2 linked regions of the Schizosaccharomyces pombe genome follow. The protein of the gene in region 1 interacts with the protein of each later gene in a biochemical or structural test. Each region holds a gene or a part of one and is shown on either strand. Other genes may lie near its edges.

What was found.
Region 2: of the proteins of cyk3 (region 1) and kin1, one has a biochemical effect on the other in vitro, tested with the Schizosaccharomyces pombe proteins (one study listed by BioGRID).

The regions. Positions count from the first base shown.
Region 1 is NC_003424.3:1,976,044-1,984,136, forward strand, and holds cyk3 (cytokinesis protein Cyk3), read right to left. Parts: upstream 6,107-8,093; 5' UTR 6,065-6,106; coding exon 5,998-6,064; exon of another isoform or gene 5,915-5,997; coding exon 3,321-5,914; 3' UTR 3,019-3,320; coding exon of another isoform or gene 2,596-3,018; 3' UTR 2,550-2,595; coding exon of another isoform or gene 1,608-2,549; 3' UTR 1,559-1,607; coding exon of another isoform or gene 1,513-1,558; 3' UTR 1,407-1,512; coding exon of another isoform or gene 1,361-1,406; 3' UTR 1,321-1,360; coding exon of another isoform or gene 1,219-1,320; 3' UTR 1,149-1,218; coding exon of another isoform or gene 1,025-1,148; 3' UTR 964-1,024; coding exon of another isoform or gene 859-963; 3' UTR 711-858; downstream 1-710. Other genes in the region: translocase Oxa101, read left to right, coding at 1-86, 163-507; actin cortical patch component Aip1, read left to right, coding at 859-963, 1,025-1,148, 1,219-1,320, 1,361-1,406, 1,513-1,558, 1,608-2,549, 2,596-3,018; SPOM_SPAC9G1.07 (Schizosaccharomyces specific protein), read left to right, coding at 7,139-8,093. UniProt on the Schizosaccharomyces pombe protein: Involved in cytokinesis.
Region 2 is NC_003423.3:2,692,243-2,698,758, reverse strand, and holds kin1 (MARK/PAR-1 kinase Kin1), read right to left. Parts: upstream 4,428-6,516; 5' UTR 3,592-4,427; coding exon 916-3,591; 3' UTR 631-915; downstream 1-630. Other genes in the region: ATP-dependent RNA helicase Mak5, read left to right, coding at 1-470; emp46 (lectin family glycoprotein receptor), read left to right, coding at 5,587-6,516. UniProt on the Schizosaccharomyces pombe protein: Has a role in establishing the characteristic rod cell shape. Important for cell polarity and is involved in directing growth to the cell ends.

The sequences.
Region 1 (8,093 bases):
CTACTATAGGGAATTCTACCAACTGGAGAACTTTTTTCTTTTTGTGCTGTCTTTTAAGCCCTCTCTTAACTGCTAAACTTCCAGCCGTACGTGAATTTTCAAAATAGTCAAATCTGTTTTAAGCCTTTATCTTAGAAGAATAACTAACCAAAGATCAAATAGGCAATATTTATGTATTGGATACCCAGCAGTCTGTTTAATATAGTGCAAGGTTATATTCTAAAAAATCCCGTTGTTCGAAGTAAACTTGGCTTCGCTCCGCTACCATCAATAATAGAAAAGCAACCTTCAGGCTTTACTTTGATTACAAACCCTATTAAATCCTTAAAAGAGTTTTACAAAGGAGTTCGTGACGGTTTTAAAACTCAGTATGAGCAATTGCAGAAGGATGTATCAAGACGAGCTGTTGCTACTACTTCAGCTTCAACCATTCGACCTAATTCTCATTATAAAAAGCTCAAGGAACTTAACCGTAGTAAGAAAAATTCAAAGAAGCAAAGTAACTGATATTTTAATTTTGCTTAAATTTTTTTCATGATATCTACTTCTTTAATTACTCATCAATTTTCATTTTGATATTCATGTTCGTTAAAGTCATATTGTACTGTTTTAGGTTATTATTTGACCGCATTAGTATAAAAACGTTCTTCTGTGTATTGTTGCAAAAAGTGATTTCTACGGTAGTATTAAAATTAATCCCTATATAAATCATATATTCCAATGACATGTACTGCTAAAGTATACGCCTCTTTAATATGGTAATCTGTTGCTCGTTTCATTGTCAAATATCTCCTAGTAGCACGCTCCATCTGCATAGAACCACATCTTCGCTACTTACAATAAATTAAAAACAGAGCAATGTCTTCTCAGTTAAAATCAACTTGGGCGCCAGTTCCTTCAACAAAACCTTCACAGCCTTGTAAAATTGGCACTGATTTTAAAGGTGAAAGGATTGTTTATCCCGTAAGTTTGTCGAATCCGTATGAATTGGTCGATTAAAGAACATTTACTAAATAGTTTTTAGGCTAACAAAGCGATAATAATTCGTGAAATTGAGAAACAGGAAAACTGCTTTCAATATAATGAGCATACTGCTCCTACAACTGTAGCACGATTTAGCCCTTCTGGATATTATGTAGCTTCTGGCGGTACGAATGCTAATTATTGCTATTATTTCTTAAGTTTTTATTTTTAAACGTTACTAATGATCAACTATAGACAATCAAGGTAACGTCCGCATATGGGATTGTGCTGGAGAAGATAAAATTTTAAAGAACCAAGTTACTGCTATTAGCGGACGAATTACTGATTTAGACTGGGGTAAGCCTGTTCAAGTTTCAATATGCTAATTGATGAAAAGACGGAGACAGTCAGAGAATAATAGCTGTTGGTGAGGGTAAAGAGCGGTAAGTGATTTCTATTGTTTTCGAAGGATGTGTTAAATTATTGGATTTACTCATAATTTCAAAAATTCCAATATTTGTTGACTCTTGCTAATCTTACTTTTAACAGATATGGACACGCGTTCACCGCTGACTCTGGTAATTCTGTTGGTGAAGTAAGGGTTTTATTAGTCTCCAACTTCCTTAAAATGTTAACGGTTACAGATTTTTGGACATTCGAGCGTAGTGAATGCTGTTTCTTTGCGCAAGAGTAGACCGTTCCGTGCTGCTACTGCATCTGATGATAATTCCATCAATTTTTTTCACGGTACTCCTTATAGATTCAACCGAAGTTTACGCGTTCACTCCAAATTCGTTTATGATGTCCGTTACTCTCCTAACGATGAAAGATTTGCTTCAGCTGGAGCCGACGGTAAGGTTTATGTTTTCGACGGGAAAACAGGAGATCAGGTCTATGAAATTGATGCTCATAAGGGGTCCATTTTCTCTATTTCTTGGTCTCCAGATTCATCTCAATTTGTCACATCTTCTGCGGGTTACAGTTGCAAAATATGGGATGCTAATACCGGCTCCCTAATTCGCGAATGGCTTTCGTCGGACAAGAAGCAATTAGTTGGAACAGTTTGGCCAACTAAAGACCTAATAATAGTTGTTAACTCAAAGGGAAACTTAACATATCTAAATCCTTCGGACTGTAAGGTAATTGATACAATTTACGGACACCAACGCTCTATCACTGCCGCTACACTTTCACCTGATGCTACCCATTTTTATACTGCCTCATATGATGGTACTGTTCTTTCATGGGATATCGGCAAACAGAAAGCATTCCCTTTGGTTGGTGAAAGTCATACCAATCAAGTCATGCAAATGATAATGGCTGATGACCATGTTATCACCATTGGCATGGATGACACGTTAAGGGTAATCGATATCAAGCAAGGGTGTTTCGCGAAAGATAATGTTTTTCCAACTGGCTACCAACCTATTGGCGTATGCTCGGTTGAAGACTGTTTGATTTTGGTAACGGTTTCGGATATCCAAGTCCTCCGTAGTCTTACTGGTGTTTCTACAGCCAAGACTATTTATCAGCCTAGCGCAGTTGCTTCGCATCCCTTAAAAAGTGAATTTTGCGTTGGAGGGGAGGTATGATACCATATTTTAATTTCCATATAATTATTGACTTTTTTAGGACTGTTGTGTATACATCCATACCCTTGAAAAAGGTGAGCTTTGTGAAGTAGCTCAATGCAAAGATTCAACAGCACCGATTACATGCTTAGCTTACTCTCCGGATGGAAAGTATCTTGCATGTGGTGATGCCTCAGGGAAGGTTGTACTTTATGACGCCAATTCTCGGGAAGTTATTACTTCTCGCTGGGCGTTTCACACTGGCCGTATTCTAGGAATGTCGTGGAATGCAAAATCTACTCATTTAGCGACCGCTTCATTAGACACCAACATTCACATTTATTCAGTAGAACGACCCATGAAATATATTGCGATGAAAAATGCTCACTCATTGGGAGCTACCCAAGTTGAATGGGTTTCTGAAAATGAGCTTTTAAGTACTGGAAGTGATGCTGCAATCAAAGTATGGTCAGTGACCTTTTGAATTCGTAGTACAATTCTCATTTTTTGCAAGATTTTAATAAAAAAATTTTTTTTGTAAGATACTGTTAGCTTTTCTGATGCCATATCTAATAGTTAAAACTTTCTCATTATTATAATCATTAAAATTAAGAAACAAAGGGAATACAGTTAAGCTTGGACATCACGATTCCAATAGTAATAGATATATATTAAAAACATTAAATGAATAATGACTTAGTTGTAAACATCAACCTTCAATATTACACAGAACAGACATTATTTATAGGAAAATTTATAGGATAAAGTCGCAAGATTTGAAATTATTTAAACCGCCTGCCAGGTTGCATAGACTACCCATCTTCCTATCTTTTCAGCCAAAATTAAAGCTCTGTATTCTCCTGTTTCATTAATTGTTAAGGAAAGGCTGAAAAAAATAACGCCATTTCCAGATCGTTCTTCTCTTAAACGCACAATGTTTCCCGTCGGGGTCTGTATTGCTAATCTGGTATTGCTAATGGAGGTAGATGGCTGGCAGGCATAGGCCGAAACATTAAATTTGTATTCAACACCAGAATGCAATGTACCACATTGGGGGGAATTAATATACAAATCAACCGATGGACAATGTGGTACAGGATGACGAGTCACAAACTCTAGAGCTTTATTTTTGCCATGATGTACAAATGGAAGAGACATTGCCATAGGATGAGGTGCAGTCCTCACGGGACTAGAGACTCCTAAGCGACCAGCGTATATCCTTAGCACCGCAGCACGATTATTAGCAGGCATAACAGCTTTAACTCTCATAACACGAATATCCGGAGTTTCCCAGAAAGCCTGTGTTAACGTGTATTTATAACACTGTGAAACATCAGCAGTAGGTGCTAAAGCAGATAGAGCATCAACTTCAGCAACGCATTCAATATCCTTTGGAGCTAAAAATTCGATTTGTAAAACTTCAAGGTCATTTAAATGTAGAATACTGGTATTGAATTTACGCAACTTCAATCCTAAAGTAAAATACACAGACGATACCCAAGGTAATGCCATTACTATAGGCATAGACAAATCTGGCATTATAAACTGCTGGTCCGGATTCTCAGGTACGTGAGTAAATATACACTCGTTTGGTTTCATTAAAAAATAAAAATCATTGGAGCTGCTGGATTTCAAGGCCTGCTGTGGGTGTGTTGGACTGGCAAAACTAGCATCAATTAGACGAACCTCATTGTCAAATGTAACAACATTCCAAGCATGATTTATATTAATATCTCTGGTATAATAGATGTCATCTGGTGATTTAAGATATCCTTCGATAACCTCACACCATAAATCTAGTGCTTGCAACATTTCTTTAACCAACAGTGCAACTTCAAAAGGAGTTCCCTGTCCTTCGGAAATTACTTGTGTACTTGTGCGTAATTCATCATTGTCCAAAGTTTGATTAGTGAACGTAATACGTTCAGAAATATATATAAAGACGGCTCTCATTTGAGCGAGCGCAGTCGTTTGTCCTGGAGCTAAATAATTTTTTGCAAGTACAGCAGGACTGACCTGGACACGTTGTGGAATAATTGACCTTATTTGTTTATCAATAGCACTAAAATTCATGTTATGAATATTAGTACCTACAGAGAACTGCACTGGCTCGCCGTCGGCTAAAACATTCCCAATACATTCACTGAGATCCTTCAATGGTTCATATACCGGCATCGAAAGCTTATTGAAGATTTCTTCCCGTTTCGCCGCAAACTCGGCTTTCGTGTATGTCTTTGTACGTTTCAAATCATCTTTTACTGATTTTAATGTATGAGGCGATGCAGGACGAACACCTTTTTGAGGAACATTGTGCGCCGGATAACTTACCGGAGGAGTTGGTTGGAGACTGGGCTTACGTTTTGACGATCCACGACGCAAAAGCTTTTTGAAAGTTTTTTTTAAAAATCCACCACCTTTTCTAAACGATTGAGCAGTTGAGGGTCGCTCCGTTGTTTGCGGTCTTGGCTTTATAACATTCGACGCGGTGGTCCGAACTTGAGTTAGTGGTATCAATGTTGAAACGGGTCTGGGAATAGGTGCGGGAGCACTCTGAAAACGCCTGTGCTGCGGAAAATAATCAGACGGAGATAAAACTGATGAAGCCATGGAAGGTTTTCTAGAAATATCTCTTGAAGACTTCATAGGTGATTCTCCTGGTTGCAAACTTGTTCTTGGTTTTGACGAATTATCTGTTGAATCATCCAGCTTGGATCGAGAAGTCATACTTGTGGACCCATGTGCAGGAGGGACAGGAATGAAGTCCGTTTCTTTGCTAGTTGTAGTGCTTTTCGTAAGTCTTAAAAGAGGGGAATTCGCTCGACTAAAACTTTTTTTGCCCATTGCATTTAACGATTGAAGAACATTTTCCATAGCACTTCTTAAAGGGGAAGGTGTAGATCTACTTAAATCTTGGGCATCAATCTGAGAGTCGTTATCGGCTGTATTGTCCCATCTGGAAGAGACATCTAAGTTGGTACGAGACATTGAAGATGGCGGTCTAGATACGCTTTTCTTAAGTGACAGACTTGATCCTAGCGAATTGAGCATGGGGTGACTTTTTTGGTGTTTTAGTGAGTCACTCTCTCGGGTTGGTTTATTCAAAGCATTTGAGCTTCCAACGAGATCAGGAGTTAGACCTTGATCAGATGAAGTTATTGGGGTGTCTATAGAGCTTTTTTGAGGAGAAGAATATCTAAAGCTAGAAGCGCTAGTTCTTGACATAGAACTGCCAGGTCGTACCGTGGGAATATCTAAACAGTGAACAAAGTTGCTAGGAAATATCCCTTGTGTATTAGTATTGATATGTCTGCCAATCCACCATTTTCCATCACCTATGCTTAAGCATTCTATTAAATCTCCTTCTGTAAATTTTAAATCACCTGAAAACACATTAATATATATTTTTTAAACTTTACATCAATAATTGCGACGTTACTTAACAGCATCTTTAAATGTTACGAACCTTCACGTTCACCTGGCCATGCATACAGAGCACGTACCATGCATGGTAGTTGTTTAGGAATGGACATTCCTGAAGGCTTAAAGGAATGAAATTATAGTCTTTGGTAGTTAATATAAAAAACGAGCGGAGCGGAAGTTCCGTAACGTGATGTGAGTTGTGTATGAATGTGAAGATAAGATTCTTATTTAAGCGAAGTACACTAATAACTTTGTTTTTTTTTTAGAGCTCAATTAACCGAGTACATCATAATTTTTCTAATAACGCGACTTATATACTTAGCGCACAATTAAAAAATGGAAATATTTTCAATAATACTCGATAAAATGCAGATCGGTAATAAATTCAACCATACTAGAATTTCATTTTAGGAAAATTAAAAAAAGAAAGATATTTGGCTACCATGAAACATTCTTTAACGATAAAGAGTGCGATGTTAGATTCATTTCATGTAGATTATAATTGATTTAGTGAGAAAATTTACTAAAATTGTTAGAAGTCCTAGAAGGGTTCATTTTAACTTGAAATATGTGGTACATTTGCACTTCTGTAATTTTTTTAAAGAGCTTTTTGCACAAGACATAATATTCAAATGATTTGAAACCAGCATCCATATTTATGCGCACTTTAAGCCATATTATTTAGATGAAATAATCTAGGTTTTAATTTACCAAATGTAATTTTCAAAAATTTGCACGATGCTTCAGTCCATATGAGATTCCTCTTTAATAAAGCTAGCAACTTTCGCCAGAGTATTAGATTAATTGTTTACTAGCTTAAAATTTGTTAAAAAACTCTGTCCTATTTTAAAATGATTACTTATAAAATTTATTCTTCTTCCGGAAATTTAATTGAGTTTATTTTATTTTTAATTTCACACTAAATACGTTGAACGGATTTAAGTTGCCTACTTGCGTTGCACACGATGTGGTGGCTTAAGTCGCTTACCCTAGCCGAACCGCTTTCAACTCATCTTGAGCATTTATACTAATACTCTAAAAAGGTTCCTTTTATAAAAGAAGTATAGTTAAGGCTCTTTTTGTTTTCTTTTTAACCCGAAGTTGATGGCACCTACGTTTTTTTTATCCACTCATATATTATTAAATTGAGAATCTACAACTTAAAGAACTGGAATGTGATTTATATGGATGATTTGCTGAACTCTGTTAGTTTTTCGAACGCCTCTAATCCTCATAATGCATGGGGTAGTGAAAATATATCCAACTCGAATTCAGCAATTCCCTCAATTACTAACGATGTCAGTTTTTCAATGGAGGCATCAGTCTGGAAAGAAAATGCTCTCAATCTTGACACATTTAATTTGAAAGATATTAATGAAAAGTTGGATTACACATTTGGCGTTGTCAAGCCTCCTAAACGGATTTCATTGGCATCCAAAGATTATATAGGTATTACAGCTACCTCGGAAACCAATTTTAGACAATTAATCCGCTTAGGATACAATGAGAAAAGTTTAGGAGAACTAAAACAAGGAACCATTAGTCGTTTACTTAAAGAACATATGACTTTATGGAACCAAGAACGGTCTAATGTAAATCGAAAAAGCAATGTGCTTTTTTGTTGGTCAACAGCTTATCAGAAGCAGAAAAGGAAAACAGCAAGCTATACCAATTCACCTGTCACACCGCCCATCAATGACAAAAATATTTTGTTACCGGAACAGTCTCCTTTATCTAATTTTTCTACGACCAAGATTTCCAGTATAAATGTTCCTTCAGATATACTTGATTTTTCTAATTTATCATCGAATGAAATTCCCAAGGATTATTCTTCTTCTACGGCTCTTTTAAATAATACAGTTGCTGTTAAACAGGATCACAAATTATCTGCAAATACTTTCCTTTCTTCCCCAGTCAAATTGATTGAGAGGGAAAGCAACAGTTGTTCTACAATTTCAATAAATAAAGAGGATGAAGTTGTTCCAAAATCACCACTAAGTTTGGATCGTAAAAAAGTTGATGAAGTCGAAGAACATTCATCAATCGCTAAACTTGACTCTGAAGAAAAAATTAGAGAAACGAAGAAAAAAAATTCATCAACGTCTCTTTCCCCGGATCCAACCTCTGATAATTTTGAAT
Region 2 (6,516 bases), on another chromosome or scaffold:
GTGGTCCTAAAGAACTGTCACAGCTGAAACGACTATGTTATCGGTTGAAAAAGAAAATCGAGACCTTTATTAATTTTCCTGTGGATATGTCAATATTGGACATTTTAAAAACGAGGGTCGTCTTAGCACATAAAATTGTAAATCTCACTAGAAAAGACGGAAGAGTGGGACGTGAGGAAGCTTGGTTAAAATCGATGGCTCAGGAATTGGGAGTTGAAAGTTCTGATGATGAGGATCCGGATTTGCCAAAAAAATCTGAATCTAGTAAGAATAAGAAACAGATAGCGCATCTTCGCTCAGAGCTTGCTCCCTTATTACACGAAAAAATAAGAACAGGATTTTCTGGTAGATACTTGACGAGCGGTCTTGTAAATATGGCTGAAAAATTAGCCAACGAAGAAGTTCATGATAATATTATCGGAATGGACTCAATTAGTGCTTTGGAAGTTCTGCAAAAAAGGAAGAAGTAAAAAAGGGTTTTTACTTAGCTACTTTTCATATAGCACGGGTTTTCATTTAGGTTTTTATACAATGGTTTTTTGGTATTTTATAGTTATGGGTTAATAATAATATTACTGCTAGATAAGTATCAACAAAAACGTCGTATTAGACTATATAAGTGAACGAATTACTATAAGATATATCATTAATTATAGTAGCCTTATGTATCTGGCTTAAACATAAGCGAACGAGGGTGCATTTACACGTTGACTTTACATGCCTCTGGCATCTGTTTGCTTTCACAGGCAAGAGCATTAGAGGTCTAGTTTCTCGTCTCTAAAAAAGCTCAACGTCTAATATAGTTCAACCTGAAGCGGTCTTAGTATTAAAAACCATAAACACTAATTAGGTGGTCATAACGTAAAATGAAGTGAAATAAATAATTTCAAAAAAGTATGCAGCTTTAATAGTCAATCACAATTTTAATTCGTTAAGAATACGACTAGCCAATGTCTTATATTGCCATGAGTTTCCACTAATTCGATGAAAAGAAACGCCACGAAGAGAGAGTATAGGGACTTTCACAATATATATTTCAAAGGCAAGGTTAGAGGCAGGCGACTCACCATTGTCATCTAATGGGACTGTGTCCGGCACCGATCCATAAGAATCAGTGGTAGAATTAGAGCCATAAGAAGGCTTACGTCGTGTATGAACAGAAGTCGATTTTGTAGGGGTTCGGATACCCTGAGGTTTATATAGACATGCATAACCACCCTTGATCTCTTTATACTCAATATCAAGCATGCCCATTACCCGAATAAGATCTCGTTGAATTGACTCAGTACTTTTAGTCGATGTAGTGGAAACACTGAACAAGCCTTTAAGGAAAACAGGCTTTATAGGATCCAATTTATCCGTAGATTTGGATGGGGAAGTAGAGTTCTTGTCCACCGGATTGCCCATCGTTTCATTAAGGATTTGCTTTTGGCGGTTGGTCGTAGAAGTTGACATCCGCCCATGCCCCAAGGAAGCACCACGAGGATTAAGTACACGATTATTACGAACCGACGGAGGTGCATTTGCCATATTGGATGCAGAGGGCCCTGTTGAATCCATGTTTAGTGAATCCATCTGACTGGAGATACCAGCATAGCGGCCCTCACGAACAGAGGTTGATCTTCCAATAGCAGATTGGGTAACAAGTTTATTCTTGTAAGATACTGGGGGCTTGTGAGACGGCTTGGTTCGAGGTGTTGGTGGAGATTGTGAGGTCTCAAGGGGAGCACTAATTTGAAGAGTAGATGTAGAAGACTTATTTTGTTTTCGGCGTGATGAAAACCTTCTAAAAATGCTGGATGGATTCTTTTTGATGGAGGAGGTTGCTGAAGGAGAAGGGGAGTGAGATTCCGTATCAGGCAAAGGCTTTCTGCGTGCAAGTGATGTGTTTCGAGAAACACGAGGTGATTCTTCGTCGCCTTTGTAGGCAACAACTTCCGGCATTGGCGGTAAAGTACGATTATAACTAGTTGGCTGAACTGGCGAAGAAGGAACGCTAGAAACTGGTGTTTTTGCTATCCTATTCCAATTTCCACCTTTTTCATATACACGACGTTCAGAAACTAAATAATAAATTGAAATGAGAGGATGAAACGCATCATAAATATCAGTGTTCATTGAAAGAGATGGTAATATTGGATTCTCGATATCATGCGCAGCATGCCTAATCCGGAATTCAAAGAAAGACTTTTTCTTGTCAGCTGAATTAGGCCCGGAATAAAATCCAGTTTTAGCTAAAGATTGATAAGCTTCACTGCTAATTACCTTAGTTAATTCACGAACAATTTTTTCTGGTGGTCCAAAATCAAAACCGTTCATTTCCCTAATAATTTCAGGATCTAATGGAAGAGTGATCGGAGATCTTTCCGGAGCAAACGAAGCTGGAGGTCCTTCATAATTGCGAATCATCCAAGGATGGTTCAAAACTTCTTCAAGCGTGGCTCGCTTGAGAGGATCAGTAACCAACATTCTTGATAGTAAACCTTTACAATCACTACTTAAATAACTTGGATACTCGACGGTACCTTTTTTTATTTTCGCATGCAAGGCAGACATATTTTGATCATCAAATGGCACTTTTCCGCAAACAAGAACGTAAAGTACTATTCCAAAACTCCAAACGTCTACCTCTGGACCAATGTACGGTTGAGCATTCAAAAGTTCTGGAGCAGCAAAATATAATGAACCACAAAACGTGCGCAAGCGAGACTGACGTCGATACAAATTTGAAAGACCAAAATCGATAATTTTGATGTCACCGGTCTTCGAAATTAAAATATTTTCAATTTTTAGATCTCTGTGCACCACAGAGTTTTGATGCAAATAACTCAGCGCACTTCCAATTTGACGCACAAATTTTCGAGCTTGCTTTTCTTTTAATTTTCCATGTGAAATAATATAATCCAGCATTTGACCACCGTCGACAAATTCAAAGACCATATAATAATGACTATTAGTAATATAAACATCTCTTGCCTCGCAAATATACGGATGACGGAGCAAAGTAGATAAGGCAGCTTCGCGAACAGTACGAATTTCCTTGTTTTTTTCTGATTGTGCTGCCTTAGTAGCCTCAGCAGAAGCAGCAGCTTTTGCCTTCGTTATGTCTGGATGAAGACGGGTAACTATTTTAATGGCAAACTGTTCACCTGTTTTTAAATGATGCGCAACTTTAACTTTCCCCATGCTACCAGCCCCAATGGTTTTACCTAGTACATAATTGCCTATGACTTTTCTTCTTTCACGAGGCTTCTCGTCAGCGCTATAAGAATGCCCAGATACAGGTACTCGCAGGCTATGATCCCGCGTACGAGAAGGAGATGCTGGTAGCGGTTTTCGACTTGATGGAGACCTTACGGGGCCATGATGTGGAGACTGAGAAGAAGGAGAAATATACCCAGGAGAAAAAGATAAACCCAGAGGCTCTACAGCGGATTTTGGTTGTGTAGAATAAGAAGGAGATTGCATAAAAGCATCCACCAGGTTGTGATGACGGTTGGGCGAGTCAGATATTTTAATTTTCGGCAACGCATTTAAAGCGGCAGACTTTGTCTCATTACCGACGGGTACGTTATTGGTACGGTACTCCATCAGGAAATGGGATCAACAGACAAAAAAGCAGATATAAAATTACTGCTTGAACTTTTGAGAGGCAAAAATTAGCAATCAACTCAAAATAAGCCGACTGAGTAATGTAATAAAATAATAACTTTGTGAAAATAATACAAACGTGTAAATCTTGGTTGACAAAAAATACTTTGTTATCGTAAATCGTGGCACCAGTTTCCTTGCGAACCTAAGATGACAAATATTACGAAAAAGCGTGAAATCCGAAAAATTAAAAAGAAAACAATAAAGGGACGAAGAAATTCTTGTACGAGATGAAAACAAATAAGCAAAGCGATCTAGTTACAAGAATGCTCGTGGCTTAGAAACGGATTAGTAGTCAATCAATATTGTTTGTGAAAAGAAGGATGCTCACAAGCCGATAAAGCCGTTTCTACAATCAAAACAAATAAGCAAAGCTTGAAAAGATAACAAATGAGATTATTAGAGCAGCAGGAAGATGGAAGAAGAACAGGTAAACCGGCTTAGCTTTTTCGATGAACAAGATAAACGACCAAAAAATATAGTTGTTTCGATAATTTTCGGTCGTAAAAACTCTTGTTTGAGAAATTCTAGTATAAACAGGTCTCCTGTTTCTTTTATTGAGCAACAGAAAGTCAAACGACTTTGAGATTTTCCCGCAATTTGTTTCCTGTCTAACAACCACTGCAAATCTATGCTACGTCCCCTAAGGCATTCAATATCTCTTCAATTCTTTCCTTTCAATTAAATTATTACAAAAAAAGGAAATGAAGCCAGAAACTGTAAAGGAAGGATTCCCTAACCCAAATGCACTGGCTTTGTTGTTGTACGGAATGGTTAAAGCAGCAGTGGAGATGTCATGGATGAATGCACCATGCTAAAGCATTCATTACGTTTAGTATCGATTTATATAGAGATAAGACTTCAAAATAGCCTACCAGTTACTATTTTCTTAAACTTTTATTTTTTTAATCTATTTCATGTATTTATCGACTTGTATTTTCCTTTCCCACACACCCTTTTAAAAGATCACGACTGCTATATACCGAGGCGCAAGCATGCTCCTTTATGGTTATGAGAAAAACATGGTATCTAAAAATGGATTTAGTATGCAGCAAACGACTCAATTGAAATTGTATACTTAAATCTTTTAAATATATGCGTATTCAAAAATACAATGAATAAATCACCATCACAGTTTCCTCATAAATGAACAAATACGCGTGTGTTTTTACATTATTCATACATCTGAATTATCGTGCCAAGTCAAAACTTTTTAAATTAACGAAATATTAAAGTTACTCTAGAGTTTTGTTTTAAGTATTTTTCATGTCTCTTAAGCTTATGAAATTTATTTCGATGGAACAATCAATTAATTTTCTTAACGACTAAAATTAGTCATCGACCATGACGGTACTCTTAATTCATTGATTGTTTTTTTGTTTTTTTAGTCACAATTTAAAAAAAAACAAAAACTGGTTTCTGTCTCTGATGTGGAGTAGAGAAATGGTCTTTTTTACTACATTTATTGCTTGTTATAATCATTAAATACACTTCGCATTGAAAAGTTGCATTGCACACAAACAATGCTTTCGAGCAATTAAACCAATTCATATACAATTTTACTGCAACATCCATAGTTGCTCAGAAAGCTGCCATGTTTAAATATAGGGAAGTCTAACATTACTCGTTAGGTGACTTTCGAAATATCATCCTTATTTACTACGATTGAGTTGGCGGTTGTTGTCATTTCACATTTACGGAATTTTGTAGATAAACTTTCTGACGGTAACTAATAAACCAAAAATACATCTATTTACTTTGGTTCCCGGTAACTAAAGGATTTAAGGACTGGAGTAATCTTTTTCTATAAGTAATAGAGCAAAAAGTCCCTGGTCTTAACCAAATAATCCTTTCTTTCAATTTCTGTTTCTCTCTCTTTTTTTTGGCATACTTTCACAATATTCATTTATCTATTTTTAAACGAAGTAAAGAAAAATGAAGTTTTGCTCCCTGTTTCATGTATTATCGTTTTGTTGTACATTGGCTTACGCCGTCCCTAAATCTCAGTTTTTGCAACTTCATTCACTAAGTAACGCCATTCCCGTTGAATGGAAATGGTACGGTAGTGTGGATGAAGATTCAGGTTACGTTTACTTAACCAGCAAAGACAGTAATGAAGCACGCTCTGGATCCCTTTGGTCAACTAGCGTTTTACGACAAGTTGGCTGGCAGCTATCGACTTCATTTGTAGCTCATGTATCAGAGAACGAAAACACCTTTTTTGCGATTTGGTATACAAGCGCTGTCGGTTCAGAAGGTCCAGTTTTTGGCGCCTCCGATAAGTGGGACGGCCTTCTGATTTCCCAGGAAATCGATCAAACTGGTAAAATCTTTGTTCGTGGCTATTTGAATGATAAAAGTTTTGAACTTGCTCAGTTTACTGACCCCGATCTTCCGCCCTTTGCTAAATGTACCATTGAGAGCTCTCCTGAGGCTTTGAACAATATTATTCTCAAATACGGTGACCAATCTGGATTAGAGTTATTTGTGAATGACAAGCCCTGCTTTCAAGTAAAAGATGTCATTTTGCCTCAGGGGTATTATTTTGGAGTTTCCTCTCAATCTACGTCTGCAAAAGACTTGGTGGCTTTATCGAACCTCAATATACTTCCTCCAGATACATCTAATAATGAAAATTTGAATCCTACCTCCAATACAAAGCAAAGCGTCGGTGACAATACTAGTCCTCAAACAGTTATTGACACTGAAGGTTTGAACGCAATAAAGGCTGATTTGGCAAAGCTTTTTAATCTAGTAGAATCTCAACGCCAGAAGATGGACTCTTTGCATTTTGCGTTGACTAATGCTTTGGAGCGTTTGAACGATATTTCTTCTACTTCACAGTTCCCAAGTGAAAGATTTAAT